Caenorhabditis elegans: one gene and its partner. The protein of the gene in region 1 interacts with the protein of each later gene in a biochemical or structural test. Each region holds a gene or a part of one and is shown on either strand. Other genes may lie near its edges.

Region 1 (8,328 bases):
CACACTTCTGCTTTACGTCTATTTGAACTGATGTGCACCAGAACGGATATATAAAATATAAATGGGATATTGCTCGCCATTTTTGTGAGAATTTTTTTGCTTTGTCCTTCACGAAAGTAAAAGAATTTTTTTTTTCATCGTGAATTTGATTTTTCAAAAATCCTTTCGAAACTTGACCTACCAATTTTATTGAATATAATATTGACACAGTTTTCAAAGTACAATGGTTCCCTGCACATATCGAGCGGATACACATTTCAGAGTATTGACTGTAACTTGATAAACATTTAAGCTGTGCCTGCAAATTTTATGAGGCATCCCCACCCTGAATTTGATCGAACGATTTGTCCGAATGTATTCATATTCCTAGTAAAAATATTGGGACTGTTGAGTGAGGAAAATCAATGAAAATAATTGAACATATATTATTCCCGATTCCCAAAAGCTTAAAAGATAAACATAAGCATAATTTTGAATAAATAATACTTTTTTTTAAATATACGAGAAATTTACTTTATTGGACCATTGCTGTATTTCACAATGAAATCTTGAGCATTATCATCCAAAAACGTGAATTCAAAAATTGCGGAGAAAATATAAAACTATATAAGTCTGAAATAATCAAACTTGGACTCAATTAACAATTTTCCGAGCAATTTTTAGTGACACTTAAGTAAAACTAGCCAAGCTGAAATGAATTGGTCAAATGTTAGCAACCCAAGAAAATGAATACAAAAGAGATCGCAAGAATCGGGATGATTTTGGAGGGAGATGACCAGTACTACTTTTAGACTAGACAATTTGTAACTAGTAACTTTTGATTATGGCAGGCAGGTGAAAAATAAATATTAGAAACGAAACAAAAAAAAACAAAACAGAAATGAAGCGTTCAATTCATAATGATATTGCAGTTCTTATCAAATAATACATGGTATCGAAAAAATGCTCAAATTAACAAAATCCATGAAGATGTGCAGTAAAGATATATACAGAAACATGATAAAGGTTTGACGTGTTTTCCGTTATGAAGGTGCGCTTTGAAGCGAAAGTCTGTTTTGAGCACTTGTGTAGATTACTGTATCTTTTCGAGCAGGAGCTGCTTGATGTGGTGCACCACTTTGACTCCGTTTACTCCATCGGCGAGAACTCTGAAACACAAATTTTTGAAACTTTATGGAAACTTTATTTTACATACTGTATGTTTGAGTATTATAGTTAATTACTAAAGAAAAAATGGATGTTTCAAATATGAACGTCAAACTTTCGGTAAATTAACAAATTACCAAAACAGTAACGAAACAGCTATATTGTTTAAATATTATTGATGGAAAGATAATTAAACTGTGAAACTTGTTTAAAAAATTTTGTCCGCTTTCCACAGTTATCATATTAAAAAAATTTGCTTCAAATTTATAAACTACTCTATTTAAAACGCATTAACCCCAGTTTCCAATCAGAACAAATTATGTTAGAACCAATATTATCAAGAAATCAAAAAATAAATCAAATAAAAACTCTAAGAGGTTGGAGATTAAGTATATTGGGGAAAATGGGTAAGGTACATGCAAATCAGTCCGGGGAGAAAATGAAACTGCACACGAACTAAATGCGTTTCTAGACAATATTATTTCTATTTTCCACACAAAACTTACCACCGGGTAGGTTATGAAATTCGAAATCGTCATTCGCTGTAATGGTTCTTTTGAAAACAATTTACAAAGCAGTATACCAAAAAGCAAAAGCATAGTAAAGAAATATGAAATTGTTTTCAATTAATCGAGAATGTTCATTAAAGAAGAATAATTAATAATGAATGTACCGATTTACTTTTTTTAAAGCTTACCCTCGCACTTAACAGAGCAGTACTGGCGTCCAAACTAGTTTTCCTCGTCGTACCATCTCTACCATCCCAATCACTGACCATGCTCCTGAATGACAATTTTTAGAAAATTTGAACAATGCAGTGATAGAATTACTGAGGTGGGTACCTTCCAACTTTGAGCCACTCCATCCATCGACTTTGTCGCCCGCAAAGCATGAGGACACACATTTGACGAAATCGGGCTCCGAATAACGAGTAGATCACGATGTTGGAAGCGCTAAAGGTTATTTGTTCATACATACAATTCAAAAACCTTGCCACACTAGGGCTTAAGTTCATTTATTTTTCATTCAATAACTCTATTTGAAAAACGATTCAGCATCATGCACTTCCAATTTTATAACCTCTGTGATATAAAATTGGAAGGTGGTGTTTGGTATAAAATGTTTACTTGTTCATTTTCAAAAGTTTGCGTTGATGTTGAGGATTTTAAACTTTTAGATTGAATGATTTATTTCACCGAACTTGATTCAGACTTCTTTGAAAATTTTTTTGAAATTACTTAGGGTCATTTTCAGTGTTTCAAAGCATCTTAAAATCATGGCAATATTTGGAAAACATTTCGAAAAGACAGATTGAACCCAAAAAGTAACCCGGAAAAGTTTCTTTTTCCATACTAATGTGCTCTCTGCCACTTTCATGTAGAAACCGATTCTAAAGTTTTTCGAGCACACAGCTTCTAACACGTTATAATTACTAAAACTTCTTACCTGTTTAAACAAATTAGCAAATTTCCAATGGGACTCCAAAATCCTAAGCTCACTTCGAACACCGTCTCAGCCAAGTTGTTCACTGCTGCTACTACGTTGAAGATCAAGAAAGTGAGCACCATAGCGATGGCCATAAGAGTGCATCTGAGACTGTTTCTGAACTTGGGAGACAAACTGTTTTCTACTGTTTTTGAATTTTGTCGAATCGAAAAAAAAGAGGGAGAAAAGTTCTGAGCGATAGTTGTTTTCAGATAATAAAAAATAACAAAAACATGCAAAAATCAAAAAAGCTGGTTCGGTTCTTGTAATAAACGTTAGCAGTCCATGCTTGAAATAAGAAAAATAAATAATCATTAAAAAATGTAAATCGATGTATTTGAAAATTTTTAAGAAACTAGAGAACCGAACTTAACATCAAAAAACTGGTGAAACCAAAGTTTAAAAAATAATTAAAAATAAAAATGATAAAACCACACCTCCGATCTTTTTCTTCTTGATTATTTTTTCCTCCTTGCATAGACCTCCGAATCTTATACGCCTTGTGTACAGCCTTTACCACAAACACATTCAGTATAATCATTACTGTCCATGGAATCAATAACAGCGCGATGAGGTACCCAAATGTTACGTAGTACTCTTTGTAGTACTTATTATCCCGCAGAAATGAGGTTCTCAGTCGACCACAGTCATCGTTGGTCAACTCGAAGAACATTGGTGCCTGAAGATGACTTGTATCACGGATAGTCGCCTACTAAACTTATTACGATGTTCCTCAGTTTGCAAAGTAGTACATTAATTTAGAACATTTAGAATAACAATCCATATAGTCTTTTGAATCAGAAAATAACACAAAAAAAGAAACTACCAATGTTGTATTCACAACCTAAAAGTTTTGCGTGGTTCAAGTTGGCCGTAAAATTAAAACAAGATGAAAAAAGGTAGGGATTTTGTATAATTGTACCTAACTCATTTTTTTTAAATTAAATTTTGAGCTAAATATCAGTGCTGTGCGGCTTGCGCCGAGAGCCGACTTTTTTCAAGGGCCGCACAGCACTGCTAAATATTGAAAAATCTCTAAGTTATTCATTGAAACTAGGGGAACCTAAAAAGCGTATTGTAAGTTTTCTAGTGTTTTTGAGTGTACTTTTTTTCAATTTGTAAAATTACAATCTGATGGAAAATAATTTATAAAAAACAGCGATTTTCGAGTTAATATTAAATATTATAAATACTGGAATTTCAAGCTCATCTGCTTTTCCTCCACAGAATTTTTAATTTTGTGATAATGTAAATTACGAATTAATTTTTTTTCAACTTTCATGTTTTCCCCGGTGTCTTAGAAATCAAAGTCAGTAGCTCTTGTGTTTTGATATACACACGCAAATGTATATTTTAAAAATTCTAAAATAAAATTGAACATTTTCACACAGTGATCAACTTATTATCAATGAACAGTGTGCTGACATGTTTAATATTCTGAATGCTTGAATGATTTTAAAACTGGGGTCACAAACTCTAATAGCATTGATGTTTGTTTTCACAAGAAATTTTATTTTAAAAAACCTTTAAACTACAATTATCGTAGCAACAGACTTCCGTAATATGCAAATTTGATATATTATAAAAACATTACTTTAGACCATAATAGTCAGGATACGAAACTTTAAAACGTTGTGTGTATTTCGAAATACAAAATAAAAAATTGACAATTCTTGTACTTACTTTGAACAATATGCTAAAAACCGTAATCGCAATAAGTATTGTTGTTGCTCGGCGCGGTGTGCACCAAATTTTGCTATGAAGCGGATAGTTAACAGCAAGAAATCGATCCACCGTCACTGCAACACATGTCCAGACACTACCACATTGTGCGATATTTGATATGGGTAACGTCCAAGGAGTTGATCTCCAGAAGAAATGACAAACCGCGGTGTCCCCGTGACCCTGAATAGTTTATTTGAATTATTGCTAACATAGTTGTTTTTAGTGGTGTTCTGAAACATTCATATTTCTGGAAACATAAATTATACGCAGTTTCTAAGACATTAGAAAATTATTTCAGACCTTGATGAAACTCGAAGTTTTGAGAAATATTAAATCCCTCTTCAATATCATAAATAACTTTTTTCATTTCTCTTTCCGTGCTATGAGCTTATCGATGAATAAATTGATGGACATTTCTTCATCTCATTACAAATTCCACTGAATATCAACCAGTTATCTACGCTCACCTGCAAAACGCAACCTTGGAGAGGTGAAAAGATCAGAGCACTGAATGAAAGCAGGATAAGATCGAAAACCGATAATCCGGCAAGATATACGTTGAGTGATGATCTGAAGTTAAAAATATTTTGTATTTCTATGTATCCTTATTTGCTCTTTTTTCTTGAAATGAGTATTTGAACAGACTACCAAAGAAAATTAAAACTAAATAAATGGGGAACAATTTGATGTCATTAATTTTTCAAAAAGATTAATACAATCAAAAAAAATCATAAAAATGTCGTCAGTTGTACATGAATTAAAATGTTTATTAAGGGCCAAGAAAATTTGAAATCACTGTTTCAATTGAATTGTGCAGCAAGAACAAATTGAAAGATTTATTTGAATAGTTTTTGATCATTTTTTGAAATGAATAGCAGCCTAAAGCTATAGCTCGTTTTTGACTAATGTGAGGTAAATTTTTATAAATATATAGGCTAATAAATATTTATTTTTAGAACTAAATAGCGTATTTTTATCAGGGAAAAACATTTGGTGTTTCCCTAACTTTATTTTTGATTTACTTGTTGGACAAGACTCCTTCTTTATTCGACAAAAAAGGCAGAAACATAATTTGTGAAAAAAAAAACTGCTATCGTTTTTTTTTCATATAAAAATTATTATTTTCCTGTGAACCATTTGGGGTACAGATATACACGCATCACATATTCATTTTTTTAGAAATAATGATTAAACATATTACCTATCCACGTTACTGTGTTTGTTAGAAGATATAGACGCAGAAAAATGAAAAAGTTTCCCTCGTACACGTTTCCGTAAGCCACGTGACTTCGTCGTCCTTTCTCAAAACGTTCGAAGTCTTTTCGTTGCGGGGAACAGATTTTCTTTGCGTCTCTTATATTTTCTAACTTAAAAAGTGAAGTGGATAGGTAATTCGAATTCAGTCCTTTCTAGATATACTCTCACAAGTACTCTTCAATAAAACGAACCTCATTTGTTTCCTAGTGAACACCACAATGCACATTACCGCAGCGCCGGCTCCCAGCACGCAAATTGTTGGAATGGCAAGCAGGTAAATATATGTGCTAATGTAATCGACCTCCGCAAAATTAGTTGGATAGCTGCATGTTCCTTTTGTACTTCCAGAAAAACCTGGCTGATCCGTAGTGACCAGTGTAGAATTATTAAGAAGCGAAATAACTGTCGAGTTCATAGCCAGAGGCCGAAGTGGTGTGGCACACACTGGAACACGATAAAAATTGGTTTTAGAAAGAAAAAAGGCTCTAACTAAGAGATAATTGAGTTTTGGTTGAAACGAAACAAAAAAGCGAAGACGGAGCAACCAAAGTTCAAAAGTTGAAAAAAAGAAGCAGTGACGTAGGGGTCTATTCAAATTTAACGATTAACATACATCCTTGAAAATGGTATTAGGTGACTAAATTCTTCAATATAAAACTTGTAAAACAAAACGAATATATATGAAACTTCGGAGAAAGTAGGAAGTAAAATTTATGGTATACATACTAACACAAAAATGAACTTGTAATTAGTTTATTCGAGCGAATAATTAAATGAGAACTTTTTTTCAAAATCAGAGTTTTGGTTTGTTAAGAAAAAGAAAGTAAACTAAGATAAGAGTGAAAATTTAAAACAAAAACACATAGTTGACAATTTCAGTAAGATACGTTTTTGTTACTCGTACTTTCAAAAAGTCTAGGAGAAAATACACTTATTTTCGAAAATTTTGAACAAAACCATCCACTAATTTCTTAAGTTTTTCTTTCTTTTCAAAACAAAAAAACAGTTGGATCTTCAAGACTAACTAGTCTTACTTTATTGATGCCTTACAAAATGGCTTCAAAAAAGTGAGTTCTGGTAAATAGTAGGGCATCAATGAAAAGACGAAGCAGAATTGAAATATACTACTAGTCATTTTTATGATGTTCGACTATATATAGTATCAAGAATTTGTGAATAACTACTGAGAAAAAGGGGACTGCATGGTCAGTAATGAATATGTTAGCGGAGAAGTGGAAGCCAAAAAGTCGTGAACGGCTGGTATCATCACGTAGCTTTCACAAAAACAAAGGAGGTTCTTTGAATAAGCAATGATGATTGAAGAAATGTTATTTGATATTTGAAACCTGTTCCAATTACGGGGAATAATAATTTACGAAAACTCACTTTAAATATGATTTGTCAAAATACAAGATTAGTTAAAGAAGTATGGTTTTACTGAGATATTGTACCCAAACCAAAATCAAAGAGCGATAAAGACTTGTTTCTGTTTAGAAAAAGAGTTTGAAAATTGGATTCTTTGTATTTTTAACTTTTATATGTAAAATAATACAATGATAAAATTTTTTCAAACGATTTTGATCAACTTATTCATTCTAATTGTAGATATACTCACTCACCAAAATGAAAAAAAGTTTAAAAAAAAAGAAAATTAACATGATGTCATTGTAATTTCCGGATAAAATATATACTTTAAATTGAAGACTTTGAAGAAAAAATTCATATTTTTTGGCAAGCTCTAGTTGACCATTCACATATTTCATAATTCATAGCTCAAGGACATATTTTTACACTCGTTGTTCAAACGAGCATTTTCTTGGAAAAAACATTCGATGTATTTTTGGAAGATGTATTCACTCTAAGAAAAACAAAAATATCGAAGTTCTAAAAGTGAGCTCTTGATATTCTTGCGTATTCATTTTAGCGGAAAAGTGAGCTTGACTCAGATAGTCATTATGTGCAAAGTTGTGTACGGAAAAATAGTCTTAAAAACTATAACGATAATTATCGAATTAAATTGAAAATGAAGGAAATGGATATGAAAAATACATTCGTGAACTTATAGGAACTGCAAAAAAAGCAAGAGGTGGATTATTCATTTCATACTTATTTAAAACGAATAAATACTAAAAGTGGAAGTAGAAAAAAGTTCACATATCGAATGAATCATGAATGAGAGCAAACGTTGTCTCGGGAAGACTGAGAGCATTTTCAGCTACGAAACCCTCAAACATGGAGTCAGTATCTCACGCGAAAGATCGTCATCGAACCGCGTCGGTCATGGTTCACAAAATGAAAGGAATAACGTAAAGGATATGGGCAAAAATCTATGGACTATCTGAGAAATTAGGGAAATGAGCATAGATGACGGACAATCCGGTTTTTTTGTTGCGGTAAGTTGAAGTAAAATACAATACTATCAATCTGATAGTAAGCTTGATTAGTACTATCCAAACACAAGTTTTAAATTTGATGAACTGACAAGAATATCAGTAACTATTGGGTAGGACTTGGCTCGGAAAACTAGGAATTAGCATTAAAAAAACAAAAACAGGATCAGTTCTGAAAATAAATTTCATATATCCAGCTATTTTAATTCAAAACTAATGGGTCCTGTGAAATATCAAAATTGTATAGTTTACTAATGAAAACCCTTAAACAGCCTGAATTTCAGTTTTTTTTTTGTATTTTTCTGTGGCATGTATCTGAACTGTG
Region 2 (2,997 bases), 1.4 Mb from region 1:
CAAAACGTAGATAGACATTTGTTCTCAAAAAAGAAAGAAATGACAGAATCCGATTGGTGCCTGTTGGTTGAGATGCCACCTTGTCGAATTTGTGAAGCGAAGCTGATTAATGAACTGAGCTTTAAGGAGGGGGGATTTTCTGTTTTTGAATAATTAAACATTATTTTTTGTCAAAAACGTCACTTGTCAGAACGCGAGAAATGATTAAGTAGGTTGAACTAATCTTGTTCTCAAGATTGAACAGTGTTTTGAAATTAAAACGAAAACTAATAAATCAAAGCTTCTTGGAAATTCTAGCACCTTCCAAAGTCACTCCACATGTTTAATTATGAGCACTCATTGACATTTCCGAAACAATTCTTTGAAGAACTAGCAAGACTGAATTTTAAAATTTTGATCTTGAAAATAGTGTGCCTCGTTTTCTGACCTAATCTGGCTAAAATCTGAAATTCAGTGCCAGTAGTCGTTTCCTTTGTTCGCGAAGAAAACGTAAGACTTGGTTAACAGATGGGCTATTATTCCATGCGGAACCCAACCACTTTATTCGAAGTTATAGGAAACATAGTTTAAAAAATGTTGTTGCATTGAAAGTACGGATCAAAATATAGGACGAGAATGGGAAGAAAATGTTGGAATATCTAATATGATGTTGGCTGAGTAGTGGGGTTCACCGTGCATTGAATCATTGATAGGATGGAGTTATTGGAAGTCGTAATCTGGCAGCGGATTGAATCGTTTTCCGAAACTGAAAATAATAAAATAAATTCTATCGATCTGCAAGTGTATTAAACATTTTTGTAAGAAGTGATTCTAGTAAGAATACATGACGTTTCCAAATATGTGTTTGGGTTTTAAGCTTGATTTATGTTGTTTTTCCAAATTTTGAAAAAAATTCGGAAACTTTTAAACTACTTGATATACTTCATATCATCAATTATCTCTCATACTCACCGAATGGGCTCGCGCGGGGAGCGTTTGCCAAAACGAATGGGTTCTCCACGAAGACGTTTTGCCATTGCTGAAGCTTCGAAAATTCCAAGAGTGTTGTCGTTGACAGCTGGCTGGGCGACAGTAGTACCCTTTAAATAAGCTAGTTGGCCACGTAATAACTGATCCCGACTAGTGGGAATGGGGAGTATCCGCTTTGGTTGCACAAACTGGAAGGGACTTACAATGACGGCGAGAAGGACGAGGAAAAGAGCAGATAGGATTCCAGAAACTTGCATGGTTTGCGACAATTGGTTTGGCAACGACTGACAATGAGTCAGACGAAAGCTCTGTGTGCGGGTGTGTACCTGAAAATGGAGAGCTTTTTCACACGAGATCGTTTTTGGCAAGAGATAGTAAAACGAAGAGCAGATAGAAATGTAGAGAAAGTGGGTGATGCGTGCTCATTAGCTCGTACAGATCGGATTACAATGTGAACTAGCGTCAAAGAGCGTTGGGCGAGAGCAGTTGCGCAATAACATCTCATCATGTAGAAATGGTGATTTTGAGTGAAGACGTGAAAGATCAGACTAGTGAAGCACGCGCAAAAGTCTCCAGAGGAATTAAATGAATTGCAATAAATAAGTTATTTTAATTATAATCAATGTACTTTACAGGATCGTCTCAAACCCGGACGCATGCTCCTTGTGGACACACATCTCAAAAAGATCGAGCTCGATGAGGACCTTAAGACAAGAATTGCTTTGTCAAGACCTCATAAGCAACTTTCCGCATCGAGAATCTACTTGGACTTGATTCGCAAGGATGATGTGGTTAGTAGTAAAAGACAAAAAAAAAATTGAATTGTGACAAATTTTAACTAATTTTTAGCTCTCTCACGGTGCCGTCACCAATGAATACCTTAATCGTCTTCATTTGGAGCAGGTGAACCCTGGTCTTATGAAGAAAAAGGATGTTCATCTAGACTCTGACCGTCGTCTGGCCTTGTATGCCTATACCCATGACACTTTCAGCTTGCTCTTAGTTCCAATGATCAAGGAGAAGAAGGAAGCTCTCGGGTCAATGGGGAATGATGCTGCGTTGGCTTGTCTGTCTGATTACAGCCCGCTGTTGTTCAGTTATTTCCAGCAACTCTTCGCCCAGGTGGGTTCATAAGCAGAATGGGAAAAAATGAGTAAAGAGAGTAACCAACGGTTCTTCGAAGTTCAAATCTAGAAAAGTAGTCGGAGGCCATTAAATTGTTTTGACTTCATTCGCATACTCCTCCTATTCTATCCATGTAGTTGATTAGAAAAACAAACTTAAGACTGCCCAAAATCGTAATTTTGAGGAACGACGACTTTTTTTGGAGAAATGTATTTTCATTTCTAAGCTTGTTTAACTATGACGTCCGAGTGAAAGAATTAGAAAAAATTGTTCATGAAAATATGTATTAAAAAGTGAGAAAAGTTCCTGGTAGAGTGAACACAGATTGAGCACTTGATTACAGGTCACCAACCCACCAATTGACCCTTTCCGTGAACAAATCGTCATGTCGTTGAGATGCCCAATTGGACCTGAGTCTAACATGCTTGAGCCAGACACCGAACTTGCCAGTCGGCTCATCTTGGAGCAGCCAGTTCTTTCAATGGTTGATATGGAGGTTGGTACATAAAGGGGAAACAAGGAAGAAGATCATACAAATGAAAAAACCAGAGGAGAGCTAGCGCATTTATAGTTTTGCAATTATCTGAAACTGGCTCCAAACTCCTCCTTTGTTTGTCTTGTTGGAATTTCTCATGACGCATCAAATCAATCATTATCATCTTCAGTATTGCAATTTCAGGTCATCAAACGAACTATGTACAAGGGATGGAAAGCAAAGGAAATTGACATCACTTACCCAGTCAAATATGGAGTGAAAGGTACTAAAAACATGAGGATGTTAAGGAAATACGTTTTGATGGGGCTAATCTTCAAGAAAGTTGCAATTTTTGCGGGCGACGATAGATAATTAGTGGCTAGAATGAGTGGAAATGACTTAGGAGAAGTGCTAAAGATAGTTTTGAG

The links. Proteins that work in one complex are often made in the same cells at the same time.
Region 2: the proteins of frpr-8 (region 1) and flp-2 interact in a test that uses a peptide from one of them, tested with the Caenorhabditis elegans proteins (one large-scale study listed by BioGRID).

Annotation. Positions count from the first base shown.
Region 1 is NC_003284.9:8,695,517-8,703,844, reverse strand, and holds frpr-8 (G-protein coupled receptors family 1 profile domain-containing protein), read right to left. Parts: upstream 6,029-8,328; coding exon 5,805-6,028; intron 4,927-5,804; coding exon 4,824-4,926; intron 4,537-4,823; coding exon 4,315-4,536; intron 3,311-4,314; coding exon 3,069-3,310; intron 2,737-3,068; coding exon 2,593-2,736; intron 2,100-2,592; coding exon 1,977-2,099; intron 1,929-1,976; coding exon 1,844-1,928; intron 1,689-1,843; coding exon 1,653-1,688; intron 1,149-1,652; coding exon 1,023-1,148; downstream 1-1,022.
Region 2 is NC_003284.9:10,093,930-10,096,926, forward strand, and holds flp-2 (SPREPIRF-amide), read right to left. Parts: upstream 1,296-2,997; 5' UTR 1,227-1,295; coding exon 952-1,226; intron 746-951; coding exon 700-745; 3' UTR 501-699; downstream 1-500. Other genes in the region: W07E11.1 (glutamate synthase (NADH)), read left to right, coding at 1,605-1,760, 1,819-2,091, 2,438-2,590, 2,774-2,852.